4 linked regions of the Drosophila melanogaster genome follow. The protein of the gene in region 3 interacts with the protein of the main gene of each other region in a pairwise test. Each region holds a gene or a part of one and is shown on either strand. Other genes may lie near its edges.

What was found.
Region 1: the proteins of CG4853 (region 3) and Rtca interact in a two-hybrid assay, tested with the Drosophila melanogaster proteins (one large-scale study listed by BioGRID).
Region 2: the proteins of CG4853 (region 3) and RNASEK interact in a two-hybrid assay, tested with the Drosophila melanogaster proteins (one large-scale study listed by BioGRID).
Region 4: the proteins of CG4853 (region 3) and fus interact in a two-hybrid assay, tested with the Drosophila melanogaster proteins (one large-scale study listed by BioGRID).

The regions. Positions count from the first base shown.
Region 1 is NC_004354.4:2,070,740-2,075,887, forward strand, and holds Rtca (RNA 3'-terminal phosphate cyclase), read left to right. Parts: upstream 1-1,673; 5' UTR 1,674-1,986; intron 1,987-2,377; exon of another isoform or gene 2,378-2,394; 5' UTR 2,395-2,971; coding exon 2,972-4,057; 3' UTR 4,058-4,127; downstream 4,128-5,148. Other genes in the region: CG4199 (uncharacterized protein), read right to left, coding at 621-687; CG4045 (uncharacterized protein), read right to left, coding at 4,128-4,232, 4,299-4,400, 4,468-4,879, 4,930-5,081. UniProt on the Drosophila melanogaster protein: Catalyzes the conversion of 3'-phosphate to a 2',3'-cyclic phosphodiester at the end of RNA.
Region 2 is NT_033778.4:4,185,870-4,189,827, reverse strand, and holds RNASEK (ribonuclease kappa), read left to right. Parts: upstream 1-1,700; 5' UTR 1,701-1,813; coding exon 1,814-1,882; intron 1,883-1,948; coding exon 1,949-2,068; intron 2,069-2,135; coding exon 2,136-2,234; 3' UTR 2,235-2,993; downstream 2,994-3,958.
Region 3 is NT_033778.4:17,511,638-17,517,945, reverse strand, and holds CG4853 (uncharacterized protein), read right to left. Parts: upstream 3,730-6,308; 5' UTR 3,530-3,729; exon of another isoform or gene 3,367-3,529; 5' UTR 3,209-3,366; coding exon 2,417-3,208; intron 2,362-2,416; coding exon 1,624-2,361; intron 1,562-1,623; coding exon 1,418-1,561; intron 1,362-1,417; coding exon 1,156-1,361; intron 1,092-1,155; coding exon 842-1,091; 3' UTR 501-841; downstream 1-500. Other genes in the region: APC10 (anaphase promoting complex subunit 10), read left to right, coding at 35-483; CtsK2 (cathepsin K2), read right to left, coding at 4,191-4,896, 4,962-5,170, 5,231-5,578.
Region 4 is NT_033778.4:15,673,323-15,678,557, forward strand, and holds the start of fus (fusilli), read right to left. Parts: upstream 3,348-5,235; 5' UTR 3,180-3,347; exon of another isoform or gene 3,119-3,179; intron 2,632-3,118; exon of another isoform or gene 2,195-2,631; intron 1-2,194. Other genes in the region: Gmppa (GDP-mannose pyrophosphorylase A), read right to left, coding at 4,012-4,112, 4,167-4,431, 4,490-5,192.

The sequences.
Region 1 (5,148 bases), on a different chromosome or scaffold from region 3:
GATACCCTGTAAGACTCAGAACAGGAAACTTCAGAGCGTCGCAACCATACATAGGAGCTCCTGTAACTCCATTCAAGGTGGTAAAGATGGCCATGCTATTGGATATCCACAGGGAAACTGTCGCTTTAGGGGAATTAGTACCCGGGATTAAGTATTCCCGCATCGATAGCTACTGTGGCAATGACGCAGCAGCAGTTCAAGCAAGTTGCGCCCTCCCGCCGTCCCTATCTCTTTGCCAATCTCTTGGACTTGTGCCGCTGAGACAATCATCTAGGCACCTACGCCCGGCCCGAAAACACCCATCTAATGCGGGTCATTCCCACTCTCCTAATCACAACTCCAAGCCATTTGGCCTCGTTTAGTTGGTAAAAGGAACACGGCACTGGTGGCAATCGGATCATCTACGACATTACCACGCACTTTTCGAATTGAAGTCGGAAAACGAAGGGATTGGTTTAAGTACATTTGGAACTTTTTTTTTGGGCAAGATGATCTTATTTTATTGGGAAGAAACCATTTGCGAGATTAGAAGTGGCGCAGTCAAATTGGAAATGCGACCTTGCCTTGTTGTTTGGCAATTGACCTTTCGAAAACTATTCATCTGTAAATCGTGCATTTACCTGTCGACTTCTCCTTTTTGGGAGTGCTGCCCGTGGTCTTGTACTCCTTGCAGTTGACGGAACCCATTGTGTTTAACAGGCGGTTGTTGATGTGGCTCGCAAAAGACGGGGCGTTGAGTATCCTCCAGGATTGGCTGGACGGGAGCTTGCGTATCCTCAGAAGGCCTTCAAAGGCTCGTTTCGTTTTGACCAAGCTCAGAGCTGTGCGAGGGGACTGCCACCTGAAAGTTGAGTGGCCAGTTTAGGAGCTTTACTTTTCACTTAATAACAATCAATCACTGTGCCAAAGCTCGTTATCAGTTAGTTAGTTCCCGCGTGTTAATCATTTCTATTTAATTATTCCTCCACAGCCTGAGTCATCAGCCGCAGATGGATGTGCTGAACTCCCCCAAACGTGTCCGAGATGCTGTTTTTTGCAGCACACACAACACACGTCGTTGTTTATTTGCGAATTGCTTTTAGTCGCCAATCATCACTCACCACTCTCCACAACAACACTAAACAAAACAAAAACAAAACAACTGGAATATCGCGTGGAAGGGAGGATGAGAGCCTGGGAGCGTGCAACAGGTCGGGGGTCCGCGTCTGTGCCGAGATAAGCGAAGTGGAGTCGAGTGGACCAGGAACGCTGCGAGAGAGCCGGGAGAGCAAGAGCCAATGCAATGCGAGGCACGTCTGGCGCGCGTGAACTGCGGACCGCGTATGGCGCGCAACTTCGTCGCTGGATTCGACTGGAACTGGAAGCTTCGTGCCTCCCCAACACACACGCACTTCTGGGCTCTGTGTGTGTCCGTGGACACAGGAACGGTCAAGATACTAGGAGCCAGCCCTACTGTGTAATCGCAACGCTCCCTGTTCAATGCATCTCTCATGTGTATAATGCGATTATAGATGAAACAAGCGCCAAGACTACCTAGACGAAACAAGAAAATTTCTTGGCAGGATAAACTACCTATGAGGTACCCAATGCAGAGCGCTGGAAACTATAACGCTGACCGCAGTTGTCAGCCTTTCCGACCATTCTCGTGTGTTCCACTAACAAAAACTTCGCGACCTTGCCGTCGCCGCACTTCACTTCGAAGCAATCTCCTCCACCAGCCTGTGGCCAGCACCAAGAAGTCGTAGAGGGTAACACATAGCTGGCCTTCTTCGCGATTCGGACCAATGCACTTGGCGACCAACATATGTACCTGTTGGCTGAGCTGAGCTAAGCCCATCGTGCCACAGTCAGTGCCGGCAGAATTGCATCACCGCCAGCGGAACTAGAACAAGAACACGAAATACCAGCGTTTTATTGCGGTTGCCATGACTCTTCGAGTGGAATAACCAGAACGATAAGTAAACCAAATTTTCCGTCACTGCCTTCGTAAGTAATTGGGAAATGGCTGTTCCTTAGACCTGTTGATACGGATAGTACCGAACAAATTGTTGATATCTCGCTATCTCGAGGTAAACATTGTATCTTTGGACACATTGTATTCTTGTCTTTGGTTAAGGAGTTCGAAAATAATGCTCTTAAGAGCGTACACATTCAATATCATTCTATACGCATGGAAGCCATGTCAGGTGTATTATGTCCTAAGCCCATTCCGTCAATGTCTGCTTGAGCGAATGTTGACACAGTCCAGTTATGCGGATAGGCTTATTTTTATCAGACCCAGGGAATGGGACTCTCAAAATACAGTTGAGCCTTAAAAACTCGAAGAGCATTTTCCAACGGAAAGTGGTTTCAATTAAATGTATTAGTTATTAGTTACTTTTTTCTTATTTGCAGCCCTCCTACTTTGGACACGGACAGGCAAAAAGGCCAGTCAAGCATTCCAGTGGAGAAGGAGGACCAAGCTAGCGATTGCCCAATTGCCAAGTGATTCGCCTTCGATGCCTCGGGCCAGTTAAACCACTGCTAAGCTGGACTAGAACAAGATACATAATTGCCTTCGCGATGGCACGTTGCAGATAAGTTAATCGCCTGAAGGCGGCACGTACGACCATGCGCCGGCGGACACTGCACACTTACACAGCCATCTCTAGTTAACTTTTAACTATTGCGCTGGTAATGTATTATTTTGTAAAAGTTCGCTTGTTTACGTCTGGCCAGTGCTGCCGGACCAGTTCGAATGGTGCGCGCCTTGAGTGGTTCCACAGTGGCAGGTGTTTGTTTCCAAGCAAACGCGAGCGTCGGGCACACTGCCCGGATCACAGTGTGCCGTCCCAATCGAGTGAAATGGAGCTGTTATTCTTAGCCCCTGTCATTGTGATATTTGATTGCTCCGATTGTTCTGACACACACTTGGCTGACAACCTGAGAGGAAACCAGACTGAAAATCCCTGAACATAAATAAATTGGGAAAATGGACGCGGAAAAAATGTTGGAGATCGACGGCTCCTACTTGGAGGGCGGCGGGCAGGCCCTGCGCAACGCCCTCAGCCTCAGCTGCATTTTGGGTAAACCGGTGCGCGTGGTAAAGATCCGGGCCAGCCGCCCGAGTCCTGGGCTCTCGCACCAGCACCTGCATGGGCTGAACCTCCTGCGGGACATAACCAATGCGGACGTGGTGGGAAACTACTTGCTCTCCTCCACAGTGGAGTTCACGCCGCGCACCATTTTGGACAACACGTATCGCGTGGAAACGCACACGGCGGCCAGCATTACTCTGATTTATCAGATGGCGCTCCCAGTACTTCTCTTTGCCGGACGCCCGTCCCGCCTGATCGTATCCGGGGGCACGAACGTCGACTTTGCGCCTCCGGTGGAATACATGCAGGAGGTGCTGCTGCCCAACCTAAAACACTTCGGGGTTAGTTTCGACCTGAAGGTGCAGCGGTACGGCTTCTATCCACGCGGCCAAGGCAGATGCCAGTTGGACGTGCAACCCGTGACCAAGCTGAATTCCGGAAAATTAGTGGCTTTCGGCCGCATCAAATCGGTCAGCGGAGTGGCCTACTGCGCCGGCCGCTTGCCGGTAAATATTGCTATTGACATGCAACAGACGGCTCAACGCGAGATACATCGTTTGTGGCCGTCCCAGCAGTGCAGCATCGAGCCGATTAAGCATTCACGCCAGAAGGCATTCCACAACGGAGCCGGCATCCTGATGACTGTCAACACGACCTCCGACGTTGTCCTAGGTGCTTCTGCATTGGGCAAAAAGAGGATCGACGGACACGTTCTCGGCTCAGAGGCGTCGTGCCAACTGGGCGACTACATGCGCAAACAGGTCTGCGTTGATGATTACATGCAGGACCAGCTCATCATCTACATGGCCCTGGCCGTGGGCCGCTCAACGATGCGCACAGGCAAGCTGACCAATCACACGCGCACCGCCATCAATGTAGCCGAGCAAATGACAGGGGTCAAGTTCGATGTGGCGATGGAGCCCGGCGGCCAGATGCTAGTCAGCTGCAAGGGCTTGGGACATGTGAACAAGTTGATTTAACAATCGATAGATCTCTTTACTCTAAGGAAACCTTAAATTAATGTCTACATATATAGAGAATATACGTGTCCTAAAGGCGCCGGAAAATGGCCAGAAAATGATCGCCCTTGTTTCGAACCACCTTAGCGCCCTCCTCGCTGCTTTGGTACAGCTTCGGGGTGATGGGATCAGCATTCTGTGGGTTTAAACGTAATGATTAATGTGTGACTTGGCTGCGTGATCTCGGTTTTGAACTACGTACGGCCTCCTCTTCGGTAAGACGCTCGTACAGCGGATGCTCCTCCATATGTGTCACTATCCACTTGTGCAAGTCCTCAACGTCCGTCATGGTGTACAACAGACCCTGGGTAAGCAGACTAAGCAGTAAGCAGACCGCATTTCGAGTACTTTCAGGAAACTGTTGGACTTACCCCCTTCCTGAGGATATAGGCATATTCGGAGAGTAGAGCCTGGTTGATAATACGCCACTTGTGCTTGGCGCGCTTGAAATGTGGGTCCGGGTAGAGGAAGAACATCTTCTCCAGCTGGCCCTTTACGAAGTAGTTGGGCAGATACTTCATGGCGTTGGTGCGTAAGCAGGCAATGTTCTGGTATGCACCCGTATCCGCGCATCGTCGACGCAGTGCCGCAATCCGGTCCACCACGTAGTCCGACACCTTGACGCGGATTTCCATGCCGATGGACAGCTTCTCGGGGAACATCTCCCCCAGGGTGACGAGAAAGCCGCCATAGCCGCAGCCTATGTCCGCAAAACTTACCTGCTGGCCCTGCTGAATGCCTGGGTACATGGAGCGCCAGTCCACATCTTCCGGGCGAGCAGGACTATGTGAAGGAGCCTTTAGTGTGTGCAGTCCATTTCGTGGTCTACTCACTAGTCGAAGCTGTGGTCCGCAATGGGATTCGAGTGCGCACGCTGGCGGTAGTAGCGCTTTTGTGGCAACCCCGTCACCGCCGACGTGGGGTTTAGCACATCCGGCTCCTGGTTCTGGCCCTGATCCTGAGCCTGTCCACCGGTGGCCACCATTACTAGAAATTAGCAGAAGCGAGTGATATCAGGCACCGACGAGGAGAAGCAGCAGCACGTTGCGAAC
Region 2 (3,958 bases), about 13 Mb from region 3:
TTGATGGATAGACTGGAAGTATGAAATCGATCTTTCGGATAAAGGCACTGAGTTCTGGGGTATTACCACTGAATGTGGGTATTTGCCTAATTTGGCTTAAGGCTTGATTCAGATGGGATTCCGATAACAGTTTGACTTGCTCGGTTGCCATGGCTGATGATTTTATTTTTATTTTTGTTTTTACACTTTTATTGACCGTATGCAGTAGGTTTGACTATTGCGTGTCAACCACCGATTATAAGTAGTTCTTTTGCGGATAAAAGAGTTAATTGTATTACGATTTTATGTTCACTTTAGCGCCGATTCGCGTGGTTCAATCTTAAGCAGGGTTATGGCGATTGATAACGTACTCAGAACTGAACTAACGTATTGGGGCATGTTTGGGTTTATGTAGGCAGATTGGGATAGCTTAAGAGCGAAGCTTAAGAGAACAACGTTATCAACGTCTATTCTCCTGTTAAGAGAGGAGCTTCCGAAAAATAGGATTAATTGGAGAATCCTGAGACGATTGTGTGGGCGGAAGTTTTTGTTATTTCAGTTGGTTCACCAAGTGATCGGATATTTAGGGGACGTGGACGTTGGCTCGACGCAGAGTCTAGACTTTGGAATTCGGACTTTTGCACTTTGCTGTGAGTAATTGACAGCTAAGCTTAATCGAAGGGCTCTCGATCTTTAATTACATTTCGTACTTACACATTGATGTGTGTGTGTAATTGTTTACGATAGTGTGTGTGGTTGGGGAGTTGTGGGTATAGAATGGATATGTTAATATATATATATGATATAATATAATATATATATGTCGGTGAAGCCGAGCGTCCAATTAATTAGCACAGCAAGTCGCCTGCGTGTTGTCTCTTTGGCAGTTCTCACCAGACTTATTTACTCAAGCGTCGCCTTCTCGATGCTATTCTTCTATTTCTCATCTTCAAAATTCTTTTTTTGTTTTATCCTTACTTCGTTTCCACAAAACTCTACCACAACAACAACAGGCGCCATGCTAATTTGAATACACACACAAATGATGCCCACTCAATAACGGAACTCATTCCGTGAATTTTATTACTCGCTGCTCATCCTTAACATACGGATCAATAAACAAATGTCGGTTACATTCAAATAATAATTCAAATAATATGTTAGATCTACTCAATCTCCGACATATATATTAAAATATTAATAATTATAATAATAAAATTAATAATATTAAAATTATTATTATTATATATATATATATGTATATATATATTTATTTATTATACTTATTGTATTGTATTGTATATATATATATATATATATAATATATATATTATAATATATTATATATATATTGTTATATAAATTAACAGGCAACGATTTTGTGTATTGCGATTTATTATGCGACTATGCGCGTTCTGATGAGTTTTAAAACTAAAGACAGAAAACTTAAGCTTAATATGAAGTAGCCCGTTTTCTGAAGCAGCGCTCACGGCAGAATGCTGACATCGCGCTTCACACGCTCCGGGCAGTAGAATGTTGACCATTGCGCTTCACACGCTCCGGGCAGTGACTAAAATTACTAAAACGGCCCTTGTTCCTTTTCCACCGCTCCTAAATCGTCACTAGCTCACCGACGCTAGTTTGACGAGCTTATGTTTTTTATCGCTTACATTTGCATCAGTTTTTTAATTTTATTTGTGCACAGCCACACCAAAAGTTTGGTCACATGATATGTTCACCTGACAAAATCACAGTTTTCATTGAGGAATTGTGACGAATTGTGTTTGCTGAAACTTTTTATTCTCTTAAAAGTGTTTAACAAAAATTTAAGAAAATGAAAATCTGTGGCCCGAAACTATCACTTTGTGGTCTTATTATCTCTGTTTGGGGTATTGTCCAATTGGTGAGTACTGAGAATCTAATTTCGTCAAAGTTTCAAAAAGTAACCACTTACATATTTATGTTAAAGGTTTTAATGGGTCTATTCTTCTACATAAATAGTGTAGCCCTCATTGAGGACTTACCTCTTGAGGAGGAATACCATTCGTTGGAAGATTTTTATGCAGCTGCAAATAGAGCATACAATCAGGTATGTTCTCTTTTTACAACAACCATATGTACACATACGTCTGCTAATGCAAGGTAAATTTTTTCAGAATGCCTACAACTGCTGGATTGCCGCATGTATATATGTTTTGACTTTGTTGCTCTCCGCCCAGCAATTTTACATGAATAGCAGAGTAACTGCCAACTAATATTTCAGATGTAGTTTCCCAACTACTTAAAACTAGTATTGAAATTTTCCCTTCGATATATTTGTTAGAGGTGTTTTCCTTTTAATAAAGTTAAAGTTCAATTTAAATGTTACAACATGCTTATTGTATTAAGGGGCGGAGTGAGGAGTTTGTGTTTTTTAAACCCCAAAGAAGACTATTCACTTCATTTTTTATGTTTCATGTGTTCAGTGCGCCATTCACTTCTTATTTCTGTTATATATTTAAATTTTGAGAATTAATATATTTGATTACTATAGTAGCGATAAATCCAAACTCCGGAATTTCCTTCAGAGTCATGAAAGCACTTTTTTTTATTAAAGAGGTCAATCTGAACAAATTGTTGAAATGATATTTTATTTCTCCACGGGAATTTTACCTACGGAAGACCTAAAAAAAGGTATTTTAAATGTTTATTACGGTTATTACTGATATTGTGTGGAACGGTTTGGCGAGACATGAATTATTCGTACTGTTTTTAATTTTGTTGATAGCTATTATTAAATTACCCAACTTACAAATATTTTATTTATAAATTAATTAAAGTAGTTAGTAAGGTCATTACTGTCTTGATTTCCTATATCAAGCTGGTAATTAATTATGTTACGTTACGTCGTTCTGTAACATGTACATATGAACACGAGATTATCTTGTGCGCTGTGTTGCTGTATCCACATACACTAGTCGGTAAGCATTTTGACAAAATAAACTCCAAACCTTTTTTCAGTGAAACTTTTAAATGGTTTAATATGATAGTAATGTCTATTTTTTGTGTGTAAGTAAGTCGAACCTTTACTAAATCCTCCATATTGTAAAGGATCATCTCTTTAAAAAGAGAAGTGATTTCAGAAATCGCCTTCTAACGAGTTTTGTGTCACGGAACAGTTATTTTCCGTTTTAAAAGAGACCAGATTTCTTAATTATATTTAAATCTGGACTTTGAGGTGCACAATTCAAGAGAGTGACGCCAACAGCCTTTAGAAACTTGGCTATCATTCGGGCTTTGTGGCACGGAGCATAATCTTTCTGCAGGATAAATGATCCTCGATCAGCCTATTTCCAGAAGGAAACGCATTTTCGTTTAGGGTCGTCAAACATTGCCTTTGGTTCATCGAGCCGGAGACAGGGACCAAGTCACCGAACCGAAGACACTAGAGTAACAGATGCGTAGTGCCATACTCTCAAATTTTTGTTCGAGAGCGAGAGAGCGGAGAGCGCTACAGCGAACAGCTCTTTTCGACGCCTGCAGTGATAGCAGACAACTGTATGTGTGCACACGTATGCTCATGCATTGTAAATTTGACAAAATATGCCCTTCACCTTAAAAGTTCTTAGACTTTAAATCTATATTATTTTTGATAAATAGGCACCATGTGAAAAATTATTGTTTTGCATTGCCTTAACGTTACTATTATTTAATAAAGCTTAGAAATAGAAATAGCCGAATCATAATATCACAAAATAAATTTCAAAAATGACTATATTAAAATAATTGTCATTAGAGTATTCAGCTCGCGACGTTGTGTCCGCACTTCGTGCCTCAAGATTTTTCAAGACTTTTGTAATAAACAGTTTTTTAAGCAGTATTTTCTACAACGTATTATTTGTAGACAATTTTTTTTCAATGTAATGACTTTTTTTGGAAAATTTTTGTTTTATAATTACAATTATAACAATTTCCAAAATGTGTTGCAATAGTAAAGTAC
Region 3 (6,308 bases):
CCTTACATATTCTACAATTTTCTTTGGCCTTCAGGATTTGGTGTAGAGCGTTTGCGAGACAACATCATGGATACTTATTGGCAGTCGGACGGTCAGCTTCCCCACCTGGTCAACATTCAATTCCACAAGCGTACGAACATCAGTCAGATTTACATATACACGGATTACAAGCTGGACGAGAGTTACACGCCATCAAGGATCTCCATACGATCTGGAACGAACTTCAACGACTTGCAGGAGCTGCAGGTGATGGACCTGACCGAACCCACCGGCTGGGTGCAGATACCCATTAAGGATGGGAACGTCAAGTCCATACGCACCTTCATGCTTCAGATTGCTGTGATCTCGAACCACCAGAATGGCAGGGACACCCACATGCGCCAGATCCGCATCCATGCGCCCGTCGAGGGCAAGCACTATCCTCTGGAACTGTTTGGCAAGTTTGGAACGGTCGACTTTCAGAAGTTCGCCACCATTCGTTAGGGAAAACTTTGGGATTTATCGAAGTCTTTTATTTTTATGTATTTTTCGGGGTATATAACTGCTAAAATACAACATTTAAAACATTACTTTAGTAATTTTATGCATATTTTTGGTGTTTCTAATTAAATGCCCGTCACTTGTATATATATAATTCGAATGCAAATAAATATATACCGTCGTCTAAGCTTAAGTACAAATTAACAAACACAGTGGAAGTGTAAGAGTTATTATTGTTACTGTTTTATCGCGATACAAATGCAAAATGTGAAAATGGAACGCCAACGAAAGAGTGCGAGAATTATTGCATCGTTTTGTATTGTATTGCACTATCTCGAGGATTGTCGTTAATGATTGGTGATTATGTGTTCGATTTCCTTGCAGCTTTCAACGTCTTGTAGTGATCCTTCTCCTCGCCGGTCTCGGGTGGCTCGCTTTCGTAGGAGGCCTTCATCAAAAGATCCTCGCTCAGCACCTCCGCCTTCAACAGGTAGGACACCACACTAGGCAACTGCTCGTATGGACAGTCCAATCGCTGCCATTTGCCAAAATTCCGCAGCTGGGTGCCCAAATGAAGGCACTTCTCAAAGTTTATGTATCCGTTGGCCAATCTGCAAACGGATTTGAATTCGGTTAATCTCGAAACAGAGCTCATTTATGCACAAACAAACTCACTTTGTTTCATGGCTCTCGTTAATGGCATGCAAATCTTTGAGGAACAGCGAGAAGAATGGGATGATGGCACGCTCAATTTCGTTGGCCATTTCCCTTTCCGAACGCCAAACAGCTGCCTTCATGGTGGATCTGTAGTTAAGAAAGTTCGAACTGGGATCCATTTGATGCTCCAAACCCTCGAACTTTGTCGTCTGCACTTTGGCCCACTATAAAAAATAGTAGTAAAATCAGACTTCACTCGTTTTACTTAACGAAAACTCACCGTTTTCTTTAGGCGAGCTATGGCAGTAAGATTCAATGCTGTTAGAATGGCCATCAAGCTGTTGAAGTTGCCTGTGTTAAAGCATTCCAGAGCTGTTTCCACCCAGAAGTCGATCATTTGTGCTCTCTGGGACTTTTTGCCCAACTAGGAACGAACGAATCATATTTTTTATTTGATTAATGGTTAATTTTTTTTTTAGTACTCACCTTTAATATTTCCGTTGCAGTCAAGTAGCTTAGCTGGTTGAACCACTGCACGTAACTGTCGATTGTCACCTGGCTGATGCAATTCGAACCCAAGGTGCCCGCCTTGGTTTGGCTTATGCAGGTCTTCAGCTCATCCTTTTCGAGGATTTCCACAAACTCCTCAAGACGTATTTGTGACAGATAGGCGTACTCGATGGCATAAAGTTGGTGAGCCAACTCGAAGGCACTGCTGCAGTTGTTTAGCACATTGTCTGTTTTGTAGACATTGGCGGCAAAGCGTTTCAGCGACTTAATACTGCTCTGACGTCCCAACGAGCTGGCCGACGATTGCTTGGTAAGCAGGTTATTTAGTTGACTTCGTCCATTTTCGTCCTTTTGCGCCAAAGCTTGGGGAATTCCATCCAAAAAAGCTGCCAATCCTTTTACATTACGCTTATTTTCCAGCTCCTGCAATAGCAGTTCATGGCTAAAGTCCCCGGGACAGGTGTCTAGCCATTCGTTCAAAAGTCGTAACACGTTTTCCTCCTCATTATCAATCTTGGCAATGATTTTGGAAAGCAGCTGGTGTGGTGGTGAAAACAAGCGGGAAGTGGTCAGAAAGGCAAACCGCAAATCCTTAGTATTATTATTGATAAGCAGGTTGACCACCGAATCCAGGTTGCCCTTCTTGGGTATGTCTTTGGCGTAAACTGGCGCTGTTTGGCAATCGAATGGCTCTGTGATCTTCAAGTGGGTGTTCTAATTTAGGTAAATTATTAGTTATTTAGCGACTGGCAAATCCGTTCAAACTTACTAGGATAGAAACCGCATCCGACTCATCTGCGGAGCTGGGAATGTCGCAGTACAAAGAGTCGGTTAAGGTGTCACGTGGATGTGACCAGGGTGCACTCATCGACACGCTGTGGAAGAGGCCATCGTGCCCGGAGTCGCAGCTGCTTATATTCGAGCTTTTGTCCCCAATAGTGGTGGATGATACAGATCCGATGACCTGATCGGATCCAGTAATAGCAGAGCTGCTGGACATAAGGGAAGCATTCGAGAAGGTTTGGTTCAGCTGCCGGCCCAAAGGATCAACTGGACGCTCGTCCGAGTCTGTGGCCTGCGATGCGAACGTGGAATTCGAAGTGGTTCGGTATTTGAGGGCATTCTCGGGAGTGGCACGCGCCAAGGCCGACTGCTGCTTGACAGGATGCCAGATCTCTTTCTGGTGCGACTGATGGTTAAAGTTTTCCTTGGTCTCCACGGTGCGTTCGTCTAGGATTTGTCCGTTGCGCGAGACCAGCACCTCCTCCGTGGTGGTCAGAGAGGACTTGACGGTCAACGAGGTCTCTACCTCGATGGGCTGTTGGGCCAATCCGGCGCGGAAGAGCAATTGATTCAGGTGCTCAACCGATGGCATCTGCCCCTCCAGCAAAGCTGCCTTTATGGCACTGGCATCATCCGCCGGCAGCCCATCCAGCTTCACCGGCACTCCGTTGACCAGCAACACCTCCTCCTGCTGCAGCGAGGATGAGGTTTCGCAGTCCACGATCTTGACATCCTTGCCGAACAGGGACTCCACAGCGTTTAGGATATCTTCGTCCATGCTTGGGGCGGGGTTATCGGGGATGGGGAAAGTGCAGACACACGGGGATCTCTGGAGAAACGTGACTATTTGGCTGCGATGGTTGTTAAATGCGTTATGACCACAGGGGGACTCTTTGGATTAGTCGCAATGCACATGCACCACTATCGCGTACATTTCTGGAAAGGAAGGGGCAAGGGGAAACCTCGATTAGCACACACACAGTGGGAGAAAGACAGGTGGCCGGGGGCTTTGGTTTCGTGCGCTCTGGTGACAACGCCCACTTTCCCAAAAGTGGGCTGGTCTCTTCTGATCAGAACATCGCTTCCGGAGCAGACACACCTGCAGGAACACTGTTGCGCGGTGGCCTTCCATCGGACGCACTGCCGCCTTTCGTCACGGCATTCCCCGCCTGCTGCTCATCAAATGTCCGCCGTTTTTTCTGCGCCTAATATAGTTTAATTCGCCAATTGACTTAATTTATTTCTATTATTGTTGTCTCGGTACAGCGATACCATCGATGTTTACACAAATTTGGCAATAATCGATATCCCCAACTGGGGAAATCATCGATTACTTGCTTTCTTGCTGTAAATATCCGCATCTGGCAACGCTTTTAACAGGTTTTAAAATGTCAAGCGTTATTTCCGTTACTATCCCCAAACATTTTTTTAATTTACCCGAATATCTAGATCTTCTTGTTTGGACATAAAGGTCTGGTTATTGTTCACATCAAATTGCTGAACTCCTCTAAAGTTCGTTTAGTGCCCAATTAACCCGTGAATAGTTTTAAATTTCCAAAAGATTCTTGTTTATTCCTCTTTAATTTGTTATCTGTAAATATTTAAGCAAAGCAATGCATTGCATTACTTTCGTTTAACTACTCTAATTTAGCAGCATTATAATTAAGAAAAGACTTTTATTTAAGAAATGGACGCAACCAACGCCAAGTCCACATCACAAACTGCACAGTAAATTTTGCCATAAATTTCGGATTCCCCGCTTAAACCACGGGATAGGAGCACTCCTCAGCAATGAAGCAGTAGTTTTTGCCGCGAGGCAGGCGGAAGTAGCCCTTTTCGCCCCAGGTGTCGTCCCAGGAGTTCTTGACGATCCAGTAATCCTGTCCTTTCTCCGATCCGTAACCGACGACCAGAATGGAGTGGTTCGGCTCGCCCTTGTTGCACTCATCGTCGTTATAGATGCCACCGGCGTAGTTCTTAAGAGTCTCCAAACCATTCACCGAACAGGCAACTGGTCCCAGAGTGGCCACCACCTTCTTCAGCTGCTCCTCGTCCTTGGGCGGAATAGCGGCGAATCCCTGGAGGGTGGCTCCGGACTTGCTGCCATCGTACTTGCACGTGCCCTTGTTGTCAATGTAGGGATAGGCCCCCTCCTGGGACACACCCTTTTGCACCTCATCGATGAAACAGAATGCGGCCTCCTGGAAGCCACCATCGCAGCCATTCAGGCCAAAGTCCTCCACCGGACCACAGTCGACCAGATTCTGCTCAGAGAGATTGGGCAGGCTGCCGGTCTTGCGGAAGGTGTGTCCCTCAATGGCACCAGTGGTGGCAAAGGCCCAACAGGAGCCACAGGTACCCTGGAATTTGACTGGTGTGACACCGCCATGCTCGCGCCAATCGAAGGCATCCGGGATGGGCTTCGCAGGCAGGTTGACCAACTTCAAACTGGCAGCAGCTCGAGCCCTGGGTGCAGATATAGAATTGATAAAATCCTATGCCGGCTGTGCAAATGGTTTGTTAGCACTTACTTAGCCTCCGGACTTCTCTTCAGACCGGTCAATTGACTAAGGAACTCAGAGTGGGTCAGATCGGCGAAGGCGTTCACGGCCTGCTTGAAGGTGTGCACTCCTTGGGCAAAGGCTGCGTTTCCGGCTTCCACCAGGTTCTTGGTGGAAGCGAAGGCACCTTCATGAAGAGCGCGATCAGCGGCGGAGAGATAGGTCTTTCCAGATTGGCTCTGCAAATCGGTTGAAGTTTTACTTCTACCTTTGAAATTGATCAATGCTGCCTATCTCACCAAGAAGTCACCAAAGTCCTGGACGTTTGAGAGCAGCGGCACCTTGGGCACAGCCTTGGCAATGTTGCCCACGGCATTCTGAACGGCGCCGGCCACATTTTGTAAAGCTCCACCCACTCGATTGTTGCCCAAGCCTCCGAGTCCACCTCCAAATCCGCCTCCGAGTCCACCTCCAAATCCGCCTCCAAATCCACCGCCTCCGAATCCCTGGCCAGAGACCACAGCCACCAGAAGTGGAAGAACCAACAGAAGCTTCATACTGATCTGCCAAAAGACGAAACTATTAGTTCCGACTGGTTTTGTAGTCGAAGGGTGAAACGGCGATGCACTAATTATATTTGATTGCATATGATCGGCTTATCAGCCGATTTGCTTGTCTATTGCAAATACGAGATACTATTGCACAAATTTTTCTGATGCGAGTAATCGCAAGTAATTCCCAATAGACTAACCTAACGCGCTCGCACGGTCCACACAAATGTTTTTGTCTCGACCGTCGATCGGGGCTTATATAGCCATTAGACTAGTAGGTTTCAGGCTATAAACTGGCCAACCTCGCCCCCACCCGATCCATTCAAATCCATAAATCCCAAGTCCAGTGATTCGGAATTATACAGAAATCGAAACGCGTTGATTATACCATGCATATCGTATACGAGTATGTGCTATATCTGTTTTGATGTGTGCGATCCGACCGATCCAGCGATATTCGCCGTGTGGTTTGGGAACTCGTCTCGGTTCATTAGCGCCATGCAAGATGGTTCGGAATATGGGAGAGTATTAGAATTTAATCTATTTTGGTCCAGATTGGGTGTGTTTAATAAAGTGGATAAATCTTGATTATTTGACTTTTATGTGATAGAACGATTACGCATTTGGGCTGCTTTCTATCTGAATGCATTCGTATATTTGATCGCACGGATTCTCGTTTGCAATTAACACTTTTAATCACTTCTCAAGTCACTTTTTGATAACGTATGCTTTCAGGAAAAACCGGAACTCGACGAAAACCCGTTGTTAAATTCGTGTAAATTAGGTATTACGTGAAGTGCATGGAGTATATTTTGAAGCTTAAAAG
Region 4 (5,235 bases), 1.8 Mb from region 3:
AAGCAGCGTACTGAGAAAATAAAAAGAATTTCAAATTTCTAGAATGAAATTAAGTGTTGTACTTATATAAGTTGGACTGTAGCATAATGCCCTGCTTTTATAGTCTACACTCGAAACTCTTCTCGTTCGAGGGGCTTTATCATCTCGAAGAGCGACCGTGTGGTAATGAGGGATTGCGGTTATAATCTTGCGTCTTGTGCAATTTATGACGTTTGCTTTTTATGGGTTTTAAACGTTTAACGTTTTTGCATCTTGCACCGCCCTTTGGTTTGTTTTTTTTTTCCGTTAGCAGGAAGTCATCATCAATACAGGTTCCCACGATTTCGTACTCCCCAAAAGAACTGCCTCGGCTTTCATAACCAAAAAGCCTAAACTGGTTCGCAAGTTTCTTGATTTTGACACTTTTCTCGACCTCCGGGGTTAGTTAAACCGAAAAGCTGCGTTTACTATTGCCTTAAAGTGCCCTATTTCCTGTTCAGAGACCTTAAGCCCTTACAGCCCATTAAAGACTGTTGATTTACGTCAACCTTTCGAGAGTGGTACATACGTACATATATCATGGATTGTGGTCTTATGAGAGGCTTTATGCGCTTTTAATTGATTGCAATGGAAACTATGAAAAGATACGGTTATGCCAGAAGGGCAGACACGCATTGATAAGTTTCCCTTTCGTTGAAATGAAAAAGGTACTATATTCGTTAATGAATGAATAACGGTAAGCGAGTCGCCCAATTAAGTAAAATAAAGAATAACCAAATAGACAATGGGAAAGCGTTGCGGCCATCATTAAAAATAAGAAACGCTAAACCCTGAATATCACAGCACAGTGGGACCTTCCTATCTTGAACTTGTAATTATTGTACGTTATAAAGATTTAAATAGATTTATATCGTATATCACAGAAACCAATAGAAATGTACCGTTTTTGTTAAGTCAGAGGTAATTTTTGGTAGTTTTCAAAACAACCATTTTCCTCAATATTAATGAGAATACGTATGTTAATCGCACAAATATTTGAATATATTGAGAAATGTAGATTATTGAGAGGTTTGCGTGTTGTGAAGATCGATTTTCGATTACTGCACTGTGCGAAAGACAAAACCATCAAGCCGTTATTAAATTTGAATTAGTGACAGGCGCAGCAGGAGCGGAATAAAAAACTAATACCACAACAGCGGCAACAACTATTGCAATTAATGAATTGCTACCTGCCTATTGGTAAACCAGAAAGTGAGCAGATTTTCATTGTTGGCCGATTGTTTGTTGTATTTCGGACTGGCTTATTAAATTATGAATTGCGCAAGTTTCTGTTTTACGATTTTTGTTTTAAGCATTGTTCCCCGCTTGCATATATGTTTTGTTGTTGTCGCTGGCGTGTGCCGTTAGTTGTTGTTGGAGCAACAGGAAATCTATTATTGCGCAAAAATTGCTGGCGAGAAATGCCAATTGCCAAAGTTATTCGCACAACAAAAAAGTGGTAGAAAAGCGCAGAGAAGAAACGAAGGAAAATGTTTTGGGCTCTCGCTCTATCTGGATTTTTATCTCGTTCCCTCTTTTAACTGGATCTCACGCAAGCAACAAGTGCAACTCTGAAATTGCTGCTGTTTTGTGATTCTGCAAATAAGAAAACAGATTCAGCACTAGGCGATCTTCAAATACGCTTTAGCAGGTGCATTTAAAATTCACACCGTTCTGTTTTTTCCTAAGCAGCATGAGTATCAAATTGGGGTAGTATCTTATCTTGTCGGATTTTAATTACTAAGTTTTCCAAAAAAAAAAACTAGACCATTAATGTAGCGGAATAATTGTCGTTCTATTTAAATTTTCCATAATCATATGGAATCATATGACAAACTTGAAGACTTCTCTAGTGCAGGGTATTCATAAACAAGTTGTGTTCTCTTTCTCTCAGCATCTTCGTTTTGGGCTCCGCTAACTGTAAATTTGTTTTCACTTTGTTTTTGTTAATGTCGCTCATTCATTTTGGTATATTTAATAGATAATTTGATTAACGGCAACAACAAGTGGTTCTCAATCGGATATTTTTCCCTCCCTCTCCCTCATCGACACTCTATGGCGCTCTTTATCTCCCTCTCGCTCTTTTGATTTTTGTTGGATGCCACAGGTTGTTGGTAAATGATATCTACAGCTTCCTCTTGCTCGTCTTCCTCTGTTTCTTCGCTTTCTTACTCACTTTTTTCTCCCTCTCTCAGCGACGCGACTTAACTGTTTTTACTGTTTTCTTATTTTATGATTTTTTTTCTGTTCAACACGTTGTATACATTGCACTTGTTGGCTTTTCACAAATTTTGGTTTTTATTGCACTTTCTTTTCTCTCGCACACAAACTCGAAAAGACCATATGTGTTACAGTTACATTTGATAAAACGCCTGCTATTTTTGTTTTGTGGCCTTTTGAATAGTTTACTATTTTAATTTAAAGCCAGCAAACAAGTATTTTCTTCTTCTTTTTGACCTGTTGCTTCCACCACTTTGTCTTGTTGTCTTTTTCTAGTTGTTGAATTGGTATGAGTGTGCGTGCAAACGTTTCGGTGTGTGTGTGTGTCGAATCTGTTTATTAACTTATTTAACCCGTCGCGCATCCGCTTGGCTTCAAGTCTGAAAAACAACTGATCGCCGCAGCGAAACGCAGGTAACCACGAAGGTAAATTAAGGTGAGCTGCGCTTACCTCTCTCTGTGTCGGTAGACAGAGAGCGAGAGAGCAGACCAAACAAGATTCCATCACGCACATACCAGCAAAAACAACAACATGGCCAGGTATGAGTTTGCCAATAGGCCTTGCGGTAGTTGGCAACTCGGCGGAGAGAGTGAGACACAGAGAGCTCAAGGGAGAGAGTTACACAAACTCCGCCAATAAAGCTTGGCTTAAAGCAAAGAGCTAGTCTATAAGTTTCCCACGCTGCGCAAGACAGTTACGCTCAGTGAGCATGACCCGCGCTTTTCCTCTCTCTCTCTGTCTCTTTCTCGTGCTCCCTCTCGCATAGAAGTTACCTGTGCTGCTCCACCAACACATTCGTCCTCCACCACACATACACACGTACACCTGCATACTGTTTGCTCTGCTCTTCTTCTTCCTCCTCCTCTTCTTCGCTTGCTCAATTACCAACGGAGAACGGTGAATGCCCACGTAGAATAGACTGCTTACCTGGTTACCTTACCTTTTGGCCAGAATCATCATTTCCAGCTAGTGGCCATTATTTGGTAAGTATACTAAGTAGTAAATTTCACTGTTTTAGAAGCGGTGGATATGCACAGATCAAAAGCAACAGGCGACGGCGACTAACTGGCTGACAACCGAGCAACGTAAACGCGTTTTGGTCAAAACGAATAAGAGCGGGAGCGAGAGAGAGAGTGGGAAAATCATCGGGAGCGCACAGGTATTGGTGTGCGTGGGCCGCTTTTTTGAGGAGCAACCGTGTCACGACCCCCAACTACTTGCACTTATCGATATCGGAATGTAAACTCCCCTTTTAAAGGTGCAAGATAAATAATTTACTCGAACAATAGTTAGCTTCCTTTAAAAAAAATAAACAATATGAATGCTGGTATTCTTAATTGCCTCGATTTTTTATAACAAATATACCAATAACTACTACATGTTTTTGATCTGAAAGATACGCTAGTGGGAGTGCGAGCGAGAATATACTGTACGAGTAACGGATATACCTAATTCAATTCCTTATAAAAAGCACACAAATGCAGAAAACTGCATCCCTCGACCACATTTATAAGAAAGTAATACCGCCGTAAAAAGTTTAATACGTAAAGGTATTCGAAAAAAAATTGTTTCCCAACTATCACATATCCATCTTTCAATCATAAAAGCACGAGTGCCGAGTAGTTTACCTTACCGGGTCAAAGACGTAGTAAAATTGGCTGCAGAGGATAAGACACATTTAATAGGGAGTTTTTCAGAATATAGCACAATATAAACATATAAAATGACATACTGATAGGGACACAGAGCGAAGATAAAAAATAAAATCATTCTCACAAGATGATCTCGTTTTTGAAGCTGCGACTGAGCTCCTTGTGCGGCAGTACAATGCTGTTCAGCAGGATTTTCTCGGCGGGCACCTGCACGAAACAGCCTGAAATTGAAAATTAGGATTCAAGAATGTCATCACTCAATTCAAAACACCTACCCAGTATGGTTATCGAGGGGTTTAGCTTGCCCTCGTTGTTGAAAAGCGGTGGGTTCTCCATTTTGGCAAAGGGTTTGTTGGGATCGGGATCACTAGGTGTGCCCTCGACTCGAGCCCAAGCTCCAATGGTGGAGCCCCTGCCCACAATAGAGTGCAGCACGAGCGTATGGTCCAGGATCTGTGCCTGCTCCAAAACAATCGATTCGCGAATGCGCACACCTGGTCCAATTGTCACTCCAGGTCCAATCGCCACATTGGGTCCCAGCTGGAACAGGACCTTTTTGTTAGAAGCACTCTAAAAAATAAGTTTGATCTAGACCAACCACTGCGCTGTGATGGACAGTGGCACTGGGATGCACATAGACGTCCGGATGCACTGTGCAGATCAAGCTGCCGTCCCCTTCTCCGCGCTTGATCCCCACATTGGCCAATCTCTCGGGATGCGTTTTCTTGTACAGGCCAAGATAATGACGATTTGCGTAGATTGCCGACCCAGCAGTCTTCAGTTGGGACCACCAGTTAGGCACTGGCATGGCAAAGAGTTTATCGGTTCCAGCCAGGGGCGTAAGCACCTCCTGTTCCCACTTGATGTGCCCCTGCTCTCGTCCATTTCCATTTCCGTTTCCATTGCAAAATGCCTGGCAGCTGTACTCCTGACCTCTCGAATGAAAAATCTGTGCCAACACCGTGAATATATCCATGGAACAGACATACACCCCACAGTTGATAAATGTGGACACATAGGAGCTAGGCTTTTCTACATAATGCGAAACGGCTCCGCTACTCCGATCGAAAACCAGACAGCCGTAGTGCAAGGATTGCTGACGTGTCGCCTCCGTGGACATGATAGTAACCAGAGCACTCGCCGGGCGCTTCTCGTGAAAGTCGCACAGTTCTTGCAGCGGAAAATCAGCGCAAACATCTCCGTTCAATACGAAGAAGGCTCGGGGGTTACCAGCTCTAATCTGATCCCGGAAATGGTACATTCCGCCTGCAGTGCCCAAGGCAGTGAACTCCTGAAGGTACCTATGATAAAGGGTAGGTCAACTTGGAACTTAAGATTCAAGTT